Linked DNA regions of Drosophila melanogaster. Changing the gene in region 3 together with the main gene of any one other region gives a genetic interaction. Each region holds a gene or a part of one and is shown on either strand. Other genes may lie near its edges. The genes, in order: Rbfox1, fng and spdo.

Region 1 (4,951 bases), on a different chromosome or scaffold from region 3:
CCTAAATATTGTACATAAATATAGCATACAGCTAGTTTAAAAATAGAATTTATTTATGTAATTTAAAACAGTGCTTGAAGAACCTGCTGTGCTGGCATAAAAAAGTATGGTCACACGTGTGCGAAGCCCCCCCCCCCCTTGGCTTTTCGCCCAGCAGTTTGGCCTCGTTTTTAAATTGAAATCTCTGCAGCCAACACTGGACATTGCCTTCATTTCCCCGCGGACAGAGAAAGGGAGAGTTGTCCCTGCATTTCTCCCGTCCTTGCGGTGCTTTAAATAATTGCTTAGAAGCCGACGAGCAGACTCAGTGGTAACAATAATAACCGCCCAAGCACTCCGACTATGATAATAATAGCAAATAGAACCTGCCGCAGATGGAAATGCCACTCGGACAGACGCCGCTCCCCTTTCTCTTACTTTTCCACATAAGCCTTTGGCTTATGACCACACCCCCCCACTGCAAATGCATTTCACTTACTCTACACACACACACACACTCGTATAGTAGAGAAAGTAAGGGCCAGTGAGAGTTTGTGTGTTTATGCTCACTTTTAATGTGCCATATAAAATAATTTAATGACCGGCCAGAGACGAGGGTGTCTCCTGGTAATGAGAAAAGCGATTGGACAAAAACGGGTGGCTGTAAATGATAATAGTGGCATATTATGATGCAGATAGTCATGACAAATGGCTACGTCGAACTTTAATTGGTAAGCGGACTTGGACTGGATCGCCATATAGAAAAGCAATTATATCTGTAATTATAAACTTATCTATTTGCCATTAAGAATGGATTACAATGTTTGAATGCCATTTGTAAAGCCATAATATCTACAAAGTATAAGTAAACAAATTTACAAAAATGACTACAAAAAAAAAGTCTTAAAAAGTACTCAATACAATTTTCATGTAAATCAACCCTTTTCCATTTTCTCTTTCTCTCCTGCTGAATTTTAAATTGTTATTTTTAAATATTTTCGTTGGGCTTTTTCTTCGAGCTTAATCTGCGGAAAATTTTCCATCGGTTGCCTTAAGTCAACCCTAATTAGGTTATTCTTGGCAATCCCTTGCTCAATCCCCTTTTAAAGCGGCCTTAAAAAACGGAATTAATTTTCCGAAATTTATATTTTTCTTTTGATTTCTTTAGATTTTTGGTTTTGCTTTCGTTCTTCGTTCCCGATTTTCGTCCTTCCACTTTACTGTCCTGGTCATTTTCTACAAAATAGTTGCGCTTTATTTCCAGGCAACTTCGTCGCTCAAGTGACAGCTGTCCTCACCTCCACTTCCGCTAGAATGTCAATAAAAATTCAATTACGTTTTCCGCCAAAGAAAAGTTGCTGCTGAAAATACGTTTTCCTTATAGCCTTCTGTTTCCATTTAAAATTGCCTCTCTTTGTCGAACGGAATTTGTTTGCCAGCCTGATCGATTTGTGATGCTGGGCCGTGGAAATGTGGAAATCAGAGACTTGGGCACTTATACTTAATGGCCTAATTATGTAACCAAACGCCCACACACAAATAGGCTGAGTAAATAATCATAATAATCAGCATTTTGGCGGGGGAAAGAAGAAACCATAAACTTCTCGGGGTTCAAATAAAAATAAATTGTGCGACTAGGCTTGGGCAATTTGGCGGAAATGGTTTTCTGCCTTGAACACATATGTTTATAAGATTTATTCTGTTTTTCTGCTTATTTTTTGTGGTTAAATAGTTGGCCAAGTTTATGCTGATGATGCCGTAGGTCGTTGTGCATTAAACCAAATTTAATGTTACCTTTTATCAGGTGGCATTAAAGAGCTCTTTCACCAAAAATATACATTTTTCTCATCCCTCAAGTAAGCATCAAACTGTTATACTGACTGTAGTGTTATACGGCAAAGGCTGCTGCATACTTACAGGCTCTTTTGCGCAAAATTTCAGTCTCCCATTGCAAGTGCTCACGTGAGGACGGAAAACATTTTGCTCATCGCTTTCGCCTCGCGCATTGGCAAGTCGCGTAAAATTCTCGTGTTAACAGGAAAAACGTCACAAATTTTTCAAAACCACCCCAAGTCCCATTACCCGCAGTGGGAAAAACCTCAAATTCCTTGGGCTATCCGTATCAATCAACGACTAAAGGCTTAGTGTCCCTTTGTGATTGTGTGTGCTTTTTGTGTGTGCACTGTGTATTTCGTTGTGCTGCCGGCTTCAATTAGCAGCTTTTCCTCATTCTGCCCGCTGCTCTTGTGTGCGTTAGATTAATGAGGCAAAAGTGTTTTGTCGTGTCGTGCGTTAAATATTTAATACAATATCAAATAAATGTTGCATAAGCCGCCTGTCATTTAGCATCTAGTGCCAAAAGCAAAAAAAAAAAGAAAACACAAAAACGTGTGTTTGTTTCGTGTGTTTACCACAAGTAATTCGGACAGCAAACGGATTCTTTTTTCACGATTCACAAGAGCACGTCGATCAAGTAAGCCTTAGCTATTAAATATCACAGAAATAAAAATGTATCCCATTTAGCACATTAAGTTACCCATTTGAACAGCTTTTATTGGACTAGTCTTCCGCTGAGATATCTTGAGAATTTGCCCATTTCCCAAACGCATTTAAAACATTTTTATTGCCCATTTTTGCTTTATGTCCCGCATTAAAACATCTCCCGCTACGTAAAGATAATTTTGATTTGATATTCGTGTAATTTTTCCATTTGTTATTTGCCCGACTTCCATTGTTGATGGTCTGGCAGGGAATTTCGATTTGCGTTTACCCTTCATTTATTTTCAGCTGGAGATGCAAATAATGGTAGAAATGCCCGCAAAAATACTTTTACAGCAACAGGACTCCGGGGCCGATTTTCATTTCAAATTGCTCACATTAAGGGGCCACCCCCCCCCCCACCGGGCATCACAATCTCCCCCCTTTTATGGCACTCACATACCCTGTATCTGTGCATATATCCCCTTATTACCCAGCGCAGAGTACGAAATTAATTGTAACCAAACGTTTTGCTGCTTGCCGCAAACTTACTTTTATACTAGTTCATTTGCCACGCCCCTATCCCCCACGGAATGGACGCACAAAGACAACTAAAAGGGTATACACGCACAGCAACACTGAGAGAAATGGGTTCTGCATCGATAGTTATAGTTTTTAAGCCAAAATGTATGCTTATATTTTCTATTGCTTAATTTAAGACTTCTTTTTAGTGACTTTGAGCCTTTACTTTAAATAACTTTAAACTTTACTTTAAATAACAAAATCGAAGTTGTGACAACAGTTTTTCCTGCGTGAGCTTATACAAACACGTGCATGTACATGTGGAGCAAGAGGTAGCTAGCATCCCAACTAAGTAAATAATGCGTAAAACAAGTCAAGCGTTTTACAAACTCACCCATTTCGCCATCCCGTTTCCCCGTTAAACAAAGGGGGTTTCCACTGCAAAACGGGGAGTTTCCCCCATTTAGAAACAGCAGAAACAGTCAATTGTAAAATTGCTGCAGCCAACAAAGCGTGGCAAGGAAGCTAAGCGAGTGGCTCAGACTGTTTCCATAGGTAGTTGTTGCCCGATGTTGATGACGGCTAGGATTGCCGGATTCCCGGCACAAGAATCTCCACCGTATGTAATTCATTATTATGCTGACTGAGGCTGGAAGGCACTGACGGTAGAAGCCAGAAGCAGGAAAAAATATTTGCGCACATGTGGCTAGAGTTTCCATCACTTCAGCGTGCTGCTGTTATTCTTGTTAAGGCTAAAATTGTCTGTCACTTTGAGACTTCCGTCATCTGCAGGATAAAAGCTGTGGGCGAAAATATGCGAGCGAAAAATGAGACTCCACATTTTGGTTGTATGCTAAATACTTCACGGTCCACGGTCCTGTTTATGCAACAAGGATGTCTTTGAAAATATCAACGTTGGTTCGCAAAAAAGGATACCTATTGTATATATCGGGCTTAGAAAAATAGGGGATTTTAATACTAAAAAGTTTTAAAAAACTTAAAACTTTCGTGACATGTGAAGATGGCTCTCATTTATCAACGCTACAAAAGTAGCTCAAAATGGCCCTTTTGAAAATATAAGGACATGAAAACGATCAAATATACCACCTGTGTCGCAGTCAAAATGTAACAACAATTGAGAACAATAAACAAATGGCACACAAAATCAAAGTTTGGTTCGCTTATCTTTGTTTGACTTCTCTTCACTTTGACCCACCAAAAAGTTTTTATTTTTTTATAATGTCCTCGAAAAATGAGCGCCATAAATCATGGGGCGTAAATATGCCACCCCCATTTATCTCGTCTAACAAAGGGAAAACTTGCACCGTAAATTTGTATAAGCAGCAATTACTTAAAAAACTCCGAACCTTGACTTGTTTAGCCAACCAATGAAAAACTCTATTGTCAACTACAATATTTTTCCACAGCTCCATTTGCAGTTATTTACATGAGCAGATCCACATTTTTGGGTGGCAGATGGGTGCTGTGCCTGATATTTTTTTTTATGCTTACTTGCGACATCGCATTTTTGCACAAGACTTCTAAACTATATTTCGGACAATATGCAACATGATATTTTTCATGCTTATTCAACAGAAAAAAAATGAGAAGAGATTGCACATACGTTCCTCACAGAATTTCAATAAAATAGAGTAGGAATTTATGTGCACGATATGTTTCCGAGATTCTATGAGCATGTAATTTGTGGGTATTTCTGTCACAGTTTATATGTACAAAAATGTGCATTGCAGTATGCAGAGATCTAATGCTTTCCTTTTTTTTATTACTCAACTCATTTTGAAACTAGCCTTTTTAAATGAAATTGCCAAGCAGTATATACTTATATTATTGAATATTGATTTATTTAATTATTATTTGAAATGAAAAGTATTTTATTCCTTCCATTTTGTAACCCCTTTTCATATCCTTGCAAATAATTTGTCTTATTATGCTCCCCACTTTCGGGCATCAT
Region 2 (5,074 bases), on a different chromosome or scaffold from region 3:
GGCTTTGTGGATCGAGGGGCCACGGAAAGGTAGCTGCAACCAGCTGCATTAAGTTGGCCATGGGAAGTGAAGAGCAAGCACCTGCTTTTGGCCTGGCCAAAAACAGGAATCACATCATCATCATCATCATCATCGTGGTCTTTGTCTCTCGGGCTGCCTCGAAGGCTTCTTGTGGCTGTTGCTTTCCTCAAGCTGATTTGCATGCTCCTCAGCTTAGGAGTTTGTTAATGTTATTATGTATTTACCATGCACTCGTCAAAAATATTTGAAAGTCCATACTGGAAAATAAATTCGGATATCTTAGAAGAAGAATTAGATGTCATTACAGAAAAAATCTATATTGTGCACGTTCATAAATGCACGTAAGTAATCTACTATCCATATCGATGTGTCATCGGTAAGCTGATCACAGTGTAGCCACAACAAACTACTCAAATCAATCAGCGACTGGTGGCCATTTGGCGCGCCACTTTAAAGAAATTCATAAACAAGCAAATCGTTTGACGATTATTATTCATTTCGTTTCATTTATGATTTATGCGTCAGCAACACGCGACATGCCAACCTGGCGACCTGGCGACGTGAGCTGCAACTGGACATGAGACATCAGATACTGGGAATCTTGGATAGGCAGGGTTGTGGGGCTGATGGAGACCCCCATGACAATACCCCCGCCCCGCCCCCGCCCGATTTCGAAATTATTGCTTTATCAGGCGAATGCCAAGCCCAGTTTAGCGCGAGTATGTGTCCAGTCGACTGTTTAGCTGTTCAACAGTTCGAAGAATCGAGCCAAGCCAAGTCATGTCAAGTCAACAAGCAGCACTTTTTGCGCAACATTTAGGAACAAAAAGAGAACACTCATATACGAAGTACGAAAAGAATTAAGCAAATTGTACGCGGCATGCAGTTTTTAAACTGGGACAAGTCACAGACCTCCGATGGAACAGAACTTCAATTGAAAAGACAAACAACAGTACAGCAGTTGTCGACAGTTTTTTATCCGGCTCAGTATTTAGTAGTGCGATGTGTGTGTAGCACTAATTCCTGCCAAGTTTCCGGTTAGCCCCAGAACACAAAAATAAAAAAAAGAGTAGAGCAACTGGAAGAGCCACAACGTCAACAGCATTGTCCGAATTAAAACAACATAAAGTTTTTAATTACACTAGCAGCAGCATGCGAAAACATTACAGGGGAGCCTCCACAAACTCGCCTCGAAGCCTCGAAGTTGGGCAATTGAGTTGCAAATTGAGAAGCCGGAAGGTGGTGAAGGGCAAGGGGATTACATGGATATTTTTGAGGATGCTGCAGCTGATTCAATTATGAGCTCTTAACTCTATTGCCAGCGGCTCGAATCACTAATATTATGAAATTTGTAAGCCTTAGTTAGGGAGCTGTAACAGTTGAAGGTATAACTACAGCAGTAGGGTTCATTTAACAAAAATCGAACTATATAAAGAAATGTTGGAAGAAAACTTTGAGGAATCTGTATATGCAACTGATTAAAAATATGTGCACTATTTTCTTATGGCGTCGTTTCATTTAAAGTTTTTAAAATATGATAATCCTAGAAGGTGGACACATAGTTCGAATTTCAAGGGTTCTAAAAATAGCCTGTTCGCATAAAACCCTGCCAAAAAGTGTTTGCAATGCAATAGGAGGCTAACTAAGGCCATTCCCACGGACCTCAACTATTTGTTATCTGTGATGCAACTGACAAGGTTTTCCACTGGACGAGTCCATTGAGATTCACCTCCATGAGATCCCCCCTCGCAGCGCACACCTTGGTAATATTAGCACACAATATTTTATTACACAAAAATTTATGCAAAAATCAAGAGTAAGAAGAGAACAATAATAAATGGGCAGAGCAGACAGGGCTCAGAACCCTGACAGGCCCTGGAATCAGGCAACTGAAAGCTTTGGCGACGCTCTGCCGACGGCAAACCAAGAAATTCAGGAACGGTTGACTGGATCTTCGGTAATCGAAACTGGGAATACTCTTGTGGGAATTGGAAAGTATTGGTGATTTTCAAAAATATATTCCAAGTGCCTAATGGTATGATTTTAGGATTTTAATAATGTCTCGATAATGCGAGCCGATCTTTGAACATCAACTTTAACAGAATTACATTCTCTTGTCCTTAAATCAATCAAATATAAGCTTAATTGTAAAAAAAAAAAACAAATAAATTCAGGATCATATTTCCATTTTTGAAACAAACCACTAAGCTAGGCACTACCTCTACATAAACTTCTGCACAATTTCTAAAGCAATCAAGTCCTTAGTTCCAAATGAATTCCCCGTGATACCGATCCCCATCCAATCACCAATCGTAGGGTATATCCTTTTAAAACGCTTCCTCGCCGAAATTTGTGTTCAATTATGATACCCCCTATTAGGGTATAAAAGCGCAAAAAGCCAAGCACCGAAACTGTTTTATATGCAAGGCAAGGGCGTAAAAGGTTTTTTTAACGGCCAAAGCCGCAGCTGCAAAACTCAAGTCGCCGGCGTTGATTTATGAAAGTGCACGAGTCGACGTCGATCGGGATCGGAATCAAAGGGGGATAATGCAAATTGCCTGGCCTTTGCAGCTTTGCAACTTATGCAGATCAGTGCGGAGCACACACGTTTGACAGTTTCGCAGCGCTAACAACACCCACGCAAGCTGGATTATGTCGCCCACTCGAACTCGCAACTCACTTGGATGCCCGGATATCCGTAGGCGCTCTGGTAGAGCAGTAGGGTCATATAGACGACGGCGACGGCTAACATCATGGCTTGCAGGATTCGCTTAAAACGTTGCGGTGGCGAGAGCACAGTCAGGCTCATCATACGGTTACGGACCACTACGCGCACATTGAAGCACCGCCGATTTGATCACTGGGTAGGTTTTATATTCCAATATTAGCTGGTTCTTTTCCTGGATCGTATGAATTCTGCTCGATTTCTGAAATTACGATATCTTTTAAGTTTATTTCGATTTCGATATCGCAGCACGCGCGCACTGACGTCTTGCTTGTGGCAAGCTTGAAAAGCAACTGATTGTGGTAGCGCGATCTACTCTTCTCTTCTTCCAGCGAAAATCGTAAACAAAACAAAAACCAGAAAGACCAGTAAGCGGTGAGAGTAGCGAGAGAGAAAGAGAGAGAGAGAATTCCCTTTGAGCTGGTCCAATTGGAAACGTTAGCTGCTCCAATGGGAGCAGCTGGCGCTCTCTCTTCGATCGCGCTCGCTCTCATCCTCTCTCTTTAGCTTGTGCCACAGTAGCTGCCGAAGGCAATTTTCATGTGCTCGTGTGTCGACCCCCACTCAGCCCACTTCTGATCGGAATCGGGGATTCGGAATCGTGTAAGGCAGCCTTTGAAGGTCCCTTTTCCAGGTGGCGGCCGTATCCTTAAAGTAAACATAGTTCAACTGACTTGGCAGCGCTCCAAATGCGGTGACTTCTTGGCTATGTCATATATACCCCCACTCCCCTCCTGACTACCCTGCCACGCCCCACCGCCCACCGTCGGCGACGACAATTCCATTAAAAGTTGTACGTTGTCACTTTGCGTTAACTTATCTGTGGAGCATGTTGTGCGATCGCATTTTTATTGTCGCCATTGTCTCTCGCTCTCTCCATCGCTCTTTCGCCTGGCTTCCCTACCCTGCCCACACAGGGAAGCCTACACACTCTTAAATCATGCACTTGGAACAAAAAGTGCAAGCATTAAACTTTATTTAAACATTCAAGAGCCGCTCCTCTATTTACCATTGAAATTTTATTTCAAATAGAGAGGTCTTTTCAGATTATATTATACCTTTAAGTGGCTTAGAAATAGTTAGACAGTGTATTTATGGATAAGTAATTAATTTAACTAAAAAATACAAACAGAAGAATTCTTTTACAATAATTTCAAACTACTAATTTCTACATCCCTTTCTCGCTCCGTGCATCAAATGCATCCACATCTCACGTGCGTCGGCAGCGTTCTGCGACGTTTCTTTGTCGCTCGGTTTTTGTGTAGCACTTGGCCTGCTCCCCACTTGACAATGCTTTGCATGCCAGGCACCATCCAGCAGTATCTTCCCGTTCCTCCTCCTCTTGCTGCTCTCAGCCCATTCAGCTCGATCCCATTCCATCCCAATCCGAATCCCATCCTACTCCTCACCAGCTTGTCATATTCCATGTTTGTGGCGGCGACAAAAGCTTTTGCGGACACCTCTGCCCGCGTCGACTGCGCTGCCCGCACAATCAGCAACTCGGCATCTTGTTCGCTGTCCCTTTGTGCGCCTTTCGCCTGAATTGCATTAAGCAGAGTCGGCGGAGCACTGCAAGAAAATAGTGAATTCGTATTTAATTCGGTAAGAGAACAGCATAAAAATGTAAACTTTTATCGCCTTGTGTCAGCTGAAAAATCTATCCAACCCTTAATAGTTTAATGTTTTAGATTATTTAAGACTGAGCCCTTTAAATACAAAAGCTTAGCATAAATTTAGAACCATCGACAATTACCCAGGGGCTTTAAAACTGTTTAACTTAAGTGGCCATTGTGTGTACCCAAATGAGCAAGCAAAATCAATTGGCCTTCACAGTGTTTTAATTATTTTTATTAGTTTATTATTATGTCAGTATGATTTTTCTACCGGTGCAGAGACGGTGGTAGCGGCGACGCAGGCCATTCCAACCTTGTTCTGCCACAGAAAAAGACATCGCTCGGCTGGAATCAGCCGCCCGCTTGCCACGAAACCCTCGGAACCCACTTCCCATTCCTCCGTATTCCGCCCACTCCCATTGCTCATTTTTAATGTGCAATTCCGTATGTACAGTTCGTAGCCATGGCCACCATTCCGCTCCGTATAAGTGTGTGTGTGTGTGTGTGTTTGCATAGCAGCTTGGTTGCCGGTTAGGCATGTGCCACCTCCAGCTGCAAGCTGCCTGTTCCAAGTTCCGATCCCCAGCCTCCAACTTCGGCTGCAACTTCAACTGCATCTTCAACTGCAACTTCAGCTGAAAAGCCCAGATCACAACCTAGCCTTATAACCAAACGAGTGCAGCTCCGTTTATCGGGCGGCCTAACCTTGTTAGGA
Region 3 (4,936 bases):
CACCCTCCTTGTAGGTGGAGAAGGCCAGGTACTCGAGGATGTCGGCCTTGGTGAAGCTCTGGGTGTGGTTGGTCGGCTCCTCCAGCATGCGGGCCATCGCCTCGTTCATCCAGAGCACCGTGTGGTAGTAGTCGTGGTTCACGTACGATTGTCTACCCAACTCGAAGCAGTCATCCGAGGACATTTCCGTGCTGCGGGATAATAAATTTGGTCAGTGAGTATCCCAGGGACTTGGCCGCTCCACTTCGAGAAGTTTATTTTTTTGGTAACCAGAAAATCGATGACTGTGCTCAGCTTTGTATAGCTCTAGCTTACTTCCTTACTTCTCGCATGCATTTAGTTGGACAAAAACTTACCTGTACTGAATGCCATTCAGCTTGCCCCTCGCCACACTCGAAGTGTCCAGTTGGTAGGTGTCTTGCAGGCGGAGCAAGGCCACCGCCGCGCCATTGAGGTCCTCGTCGGAGGGGAACTTCAGGAGGCTGCGATACTGGGTGATGTTCTGCAGGAAATCCGTGCCCACGTCGTGCTCCATGAGGTTCTCCACCTGACGCCAATCGGTGGTTAGCCGCTTAGTCAGCAGGTACGCATTGATTGGATTGGATACATAGGCGGTTATATCATGGGAGGCATCCGAGTGCTCCCTCTGGTACTCGTCCATTTTGCTGCAATTTAAAGAGAGGGCAAAACTTAGTAGACAGAAGAGCAAAACACATTGCTTTAAAATATGCACCGTATTTCAATAGTTAAAAGGTGCTGAAAGCTGAAAAATAATTGTTTACTCAATTAAGTTAAGTATCACGACGCTGAATCTATAATTTTAACACTCGACCTATATTTGAAAGTGTTTATTCACCATATATATATTTTTGATTGTTAAAGAACTAACCTAATTGAACACTTTAACCATTTCCTTATTGATACAAAATGCTGTGCTGGTATCTACGTGCCTTTATTTTATTCTTATTCCATAACATACTTATACTTAGGTGAACAATAAGTTAAGCAAACTAAGTGTTAGCAATAGGTACAACCCACTTGTTATATACAGTCGTTTGGGGGATGATGATCTTCCGCTGATTATAAATCTAATTCTTGTTTTTGGTCTTTTAGCCGTTCGGTGTGTCAAGTTCTTGAATTCGAAGTGGATGGTGTACAACTAATTAGAGTCTAGGATTAACTATTTCCAGGGTATTAGACCACGTTGACGCGGTTGTCTGGCGGAGGTCGGTGGCACCACAAGCTGCCCAGCACTCCCAATCCGATGAAGAACATGGTGAAAGTCGACAGTCCAAGGATGACGCCAGTGGTCACATCGTGGACAGGAAATCCGGGGAAGGGGTCCACCACGAGTATCACAAGCAATCCGCAGGACTTGAATAGGCAAAATACGGTGACCAGGATATAGCCGGAACTATAGCTCCTGTTCGGCAGCCACTCGCAGTGGCGCGACTTGAATCCCAGGAAGCCGAGTCCCATTCCGGAGAAGGAGGCCACCAGGCTAAACTGCAGGTAAAAGGACTTTCCGAGCTGTAGGCGAAGAAAAAGTGTTATTCAAATGTTTCCATGGACAAAATGAATATCTTTAAAAGTATTTGAGAGTACTTACGTGTGCTATCATGTAGATGATGAGCCCCGCATTCATGGTGCTGCCCAAGACGAGCATCAGGGAGACAACGGCCAAGGTAATGGTGGCATTGGCCATCTTCTGCGGATAGGAGCTGTTTTTCTTGCCCTTTCCCTGGATGCTGCTCATGTCCTGTTCCCGTTCCTGCTCCTGCCCCTGCTCCTGGACCCTGGGACTGATGACGGCCATGGATCGATCGGCGATCTGCATGGGAAGCGGCTTCACGGTCTCGTAGTGAAGTCTCTGGGGGGAGAGTCGATTCTGGCGAAGTGGCAAGGTTGGAGGGACTCCTACTACCGCTCCAACTTGTTGGCTTTGGTAGATCTGTTGGCTTTTGTAGATCTCCAAGCGCCTTTCCAGCTGCAGCTGCTCGTGGTGGGCGGCGTTCCGGGGCGTTGAGTGCGCCAATCGCGGAGGCGGCTGCATCTTCCTGGGCGTGGTCAGGAGCTCGTGCAGGGCCCTCGTAGCGGCAGCCGCATTCTTTTGCTGCGGCGTTGAGGTCCTCGCTGCGTACTGCCTGCTCAATTCCATGTTGCTCAGGCAGGTTTCCTGCTGCTCCTGCTCCTCCGCCAGATCATCGTCGTCCGCATCCGTGGGCACCACTGCATATCGATGGGCGCGGCCATTGTGCATCTGTATGATCTCCTGGTTCTCGTCTACCAGCTCCTCGTCCTCGGCGGTGGGCACCATCTGGTACCTCTGGTTGCTATTCTTATCCACTATCAAGAAGGTCTTGCTGCCGAAGTCGCTACTAAAAGCATGCTTAATCTGGGTTTGATTGGCATTGGTATTGTTGTTAATATTCCTGGGCTTGGGCGGCAAATTAAGTATCGGTGGCAAGCTGGCAAACTGGGTCTCCTGATGGGGTTCCTCGTGGAAGGAGTGAGGCTCCTCCTCTTCGTGCAATCCATGTCTGGAGCCATAGCGATCCAGATTATCCTGTGATCGGGCCAGTCTCTGTGCCGCCTGTCCTGGAACTATGGCGTATCTACTGGCCCTACTGCTGTTCAGTTCCTCTAGGGGAACCAAGGCATAGCGACCACTAGAGGATTGCGGCTGGTGTTGCTGCTGCTGAGCCAGGTGTTGCTGGTGTATCTGCTGTTGGTGTTGCTGCTGCTGCTGCTGCTGGTGTTGTTTCCGCGTCACCGATCGCGTGGACATGCTACGCTGCATTCGCAGTGGACCCTCGCGGGGATCTCGAGTGGCGCGCGGAGGAGCCGCTCCAAAGTTCATCTGGAGGCTTCTGTTGTAGATGGACTCCACTCGCGACGAGTTGCCGCTGGGCACCGGGTAATACTCGCTGTTCTGGCAGAAGGCCGGGTTCGTATAGTTATGCTGCGACATGTTGGCACTGTACTGGTGGCAATTCCACAACCTCTTAGGGGTGTTCTTTCACTACTTTGGGTTTTCTTTGGGTTCGTAGCACTGTTCACGATCCGCTCGCCTCGGCAACTGCGACTCGACTGATCTAGAGAGCCGTTCCAGACGGCAGCTCCTCAACTTCCTCCACTTCCTGCGCCGGCGCGCAGTCGAGTGGATCGTGCTCCGATACGAGTCCCCACCCCATAAAACACCATTTACTTGTACATAAGACACCCGTACACCCGTACAATGACCGACTGTGTTTGGCGCGTTCCATTAGGCCATTGGAACCGAACCGAATGTGAAAACCCAGAAACATCTGCTCCTGCTGCTCGACGAACGAACGGGGGTTGAAACGCATTTCACTTCCAACTGAGACGTCTCAACGCGATCCTAACCAAAACCTAAAAACCCCTGGCGAATTGCAGGAGCAGCCGGCGTTTTATTCGGTTCGCGTTTATCGGCGTTTTTAATTCTTATTTACCAACTCATATGCGCTCCCTTGCGACTTTAATTCTGTTTTGCTACCACTTAGTTGGCGAGTTGAGGGGTATGATGAATGTGTTTTAAATCCACCTAAGATTATACTCGAACATAACCAGTGTAGAGCAGATCATATCAGCACACTGTCATCACCGAGAATTCAACATAATTTAACTATCATAAAAGTGTTTTTTCTTTATTATAATCATATAAGAACTAGTTGTTCTTGTTCCTTTTGTTCATCCGCTGCTTTGTTTCTCGACCGAAATATTTAAAATAGTTTATTGTTTGTTGAAAACATATCGTGCTTTTATTATATATGGTTAGCATCCGTATATCGGCACCATTAAAACAAACTTTTAATGAATGCTTTCACAAAACAGTTTAGTTTAATATGCACATATTTCTGACGTAAAAGCGTCAAGCCATAAAGTAGAGCTTAGCTTCAGTCAGAAAGAAATGAAACAAAAGAACTTAAGAGATTAAATTATTTCACTTCGCTTATTTATTTTAAGGGGTACCCTTCAGTCGCGCTTGCTTCTTAAAAATAATCCTTGCTCAGCTCTGATGTTTGTGCAGACCAAAAACCTTCCCTAAAGGCAGCCCTCCCCGGATTTTTGTTGCCCAAGCGACCGTTACATTTGGTTGTCAGAGAAAAACGATAAAAAACGAAGAGTTCGTGGGTCAACTTTATCCGGATTTCGCCTCCCACGTGCATACATATGTACATGCCTTTGAGCCCGCAGGTTGGATGCACGCGTGTTGTCCTTTTGTGGTGGCCAACTTAATTGCCTTTTGGCCAGAAGCAAATCAGCGCAGCCGGGGGCATTTGTCAAGCGGATTAGCCAGAAATTGGAGGCACCAACAGCTGGTCGGTGGGAAAATTTAAGATGCATATAAAGTTAAACGCCGGCAGACGGCACGCGACTAGAGTGCGGGGTTTCTGCACAGTATCCGAAGGATACTCGGATGCAGATACTCAAAGGCAGGGGCAATGACAGCGCACAAGGATAACAGACAGAGACGGCAGGCACACAGCTGTCAGCTGTTTGCGAGGATCCTGTCTCGTCCTTTGTTGTGACACAACCAAGGTACAAATGCAGGAACAGAAACTCAACTAAACTCAACTGAACTGAACAGCAGAGAAACAGCCGCAAAGATAGATCCTGAATCCTGAGTCCTGAGTGCGACTGGCATTATTTGATTAGGGGAGTTGTCTCACCGCATCCTGCACCCTGCTCTCTCCCCCATATTATTTCCGCTGCCAGTTGTCATATATATACGCCACATAGATCCCCTTCGCATATAAGCAAGAGATATGTATCTGCAGTCATGTGTGTGAGGGGCGCCTCCTCAGATACATTTACAGATACAGATACACACTCAGTTGTAGTAAAACAGCATAGGTGCGTGCAACAGCTGCCCTCGCACGTGGCAAAAGTAATTACCAGAATGCAAGCGACT

What was found.
Region 1: of spdo (region 3) and Rbfox1, changing one enhances a phenotype caused by changing the other (phenotypic enhancement), as found in Drosophila melanogaster (one study listed by BioGRID).
Region 2: of spdo (region 3) and fng, changing one suppresses a phenotype caused by changing the other (phenotypic suppression), as found in Drosophila melanogaster (one study listed by BioGRID).

The regions. Positions count from the first base shown.
Region 1 is NT_037436.4:10,479,494-10,484,444, forward strand, and holds the start of Rbfox1 (RNA-binding Fox protein 1), read left to right. Parts: upstream 1-1,918; 5' UTR 1,919-2,452; intron 2,453-4,951.
Region 2 is NT_037436.4:20,946,469-20,951,542, forward strand, and holds the start of fng (fringe), read right to left. Parts: upstream 3,045-5,074; 5' UTR 2,834-3,044; coding exon 2,702-2,833; intron 1-2,701. UniProt on the Drosophila melanogaster protein: Glycosyltransferase involved in the elongation of O-linked ligands to activate Notch signaling. Possesses fucose-specific beta-1,3-N-acetylglucosaminyltransferase activity; extends the O-linked fucose on the Notch EGF repeats.
Region 3 is NT_033777.3:30,474,848-30,479,783, reverse strand, and holds spdo (sanpodo), read right to left. Parts: upstream 3,101-4,936; 5' UTR 2,972-3,100; coding exon 1,610-2,971; intron 1,531-1,609; coding exon 1,195-1,530; 3' UTR 935-1,194; downstream 1-934. Other genes in the region: PH4alphaEFB (prolyl-4-hydroxylase-alpha EFB), read right to left, coding at 4-191, 357-665.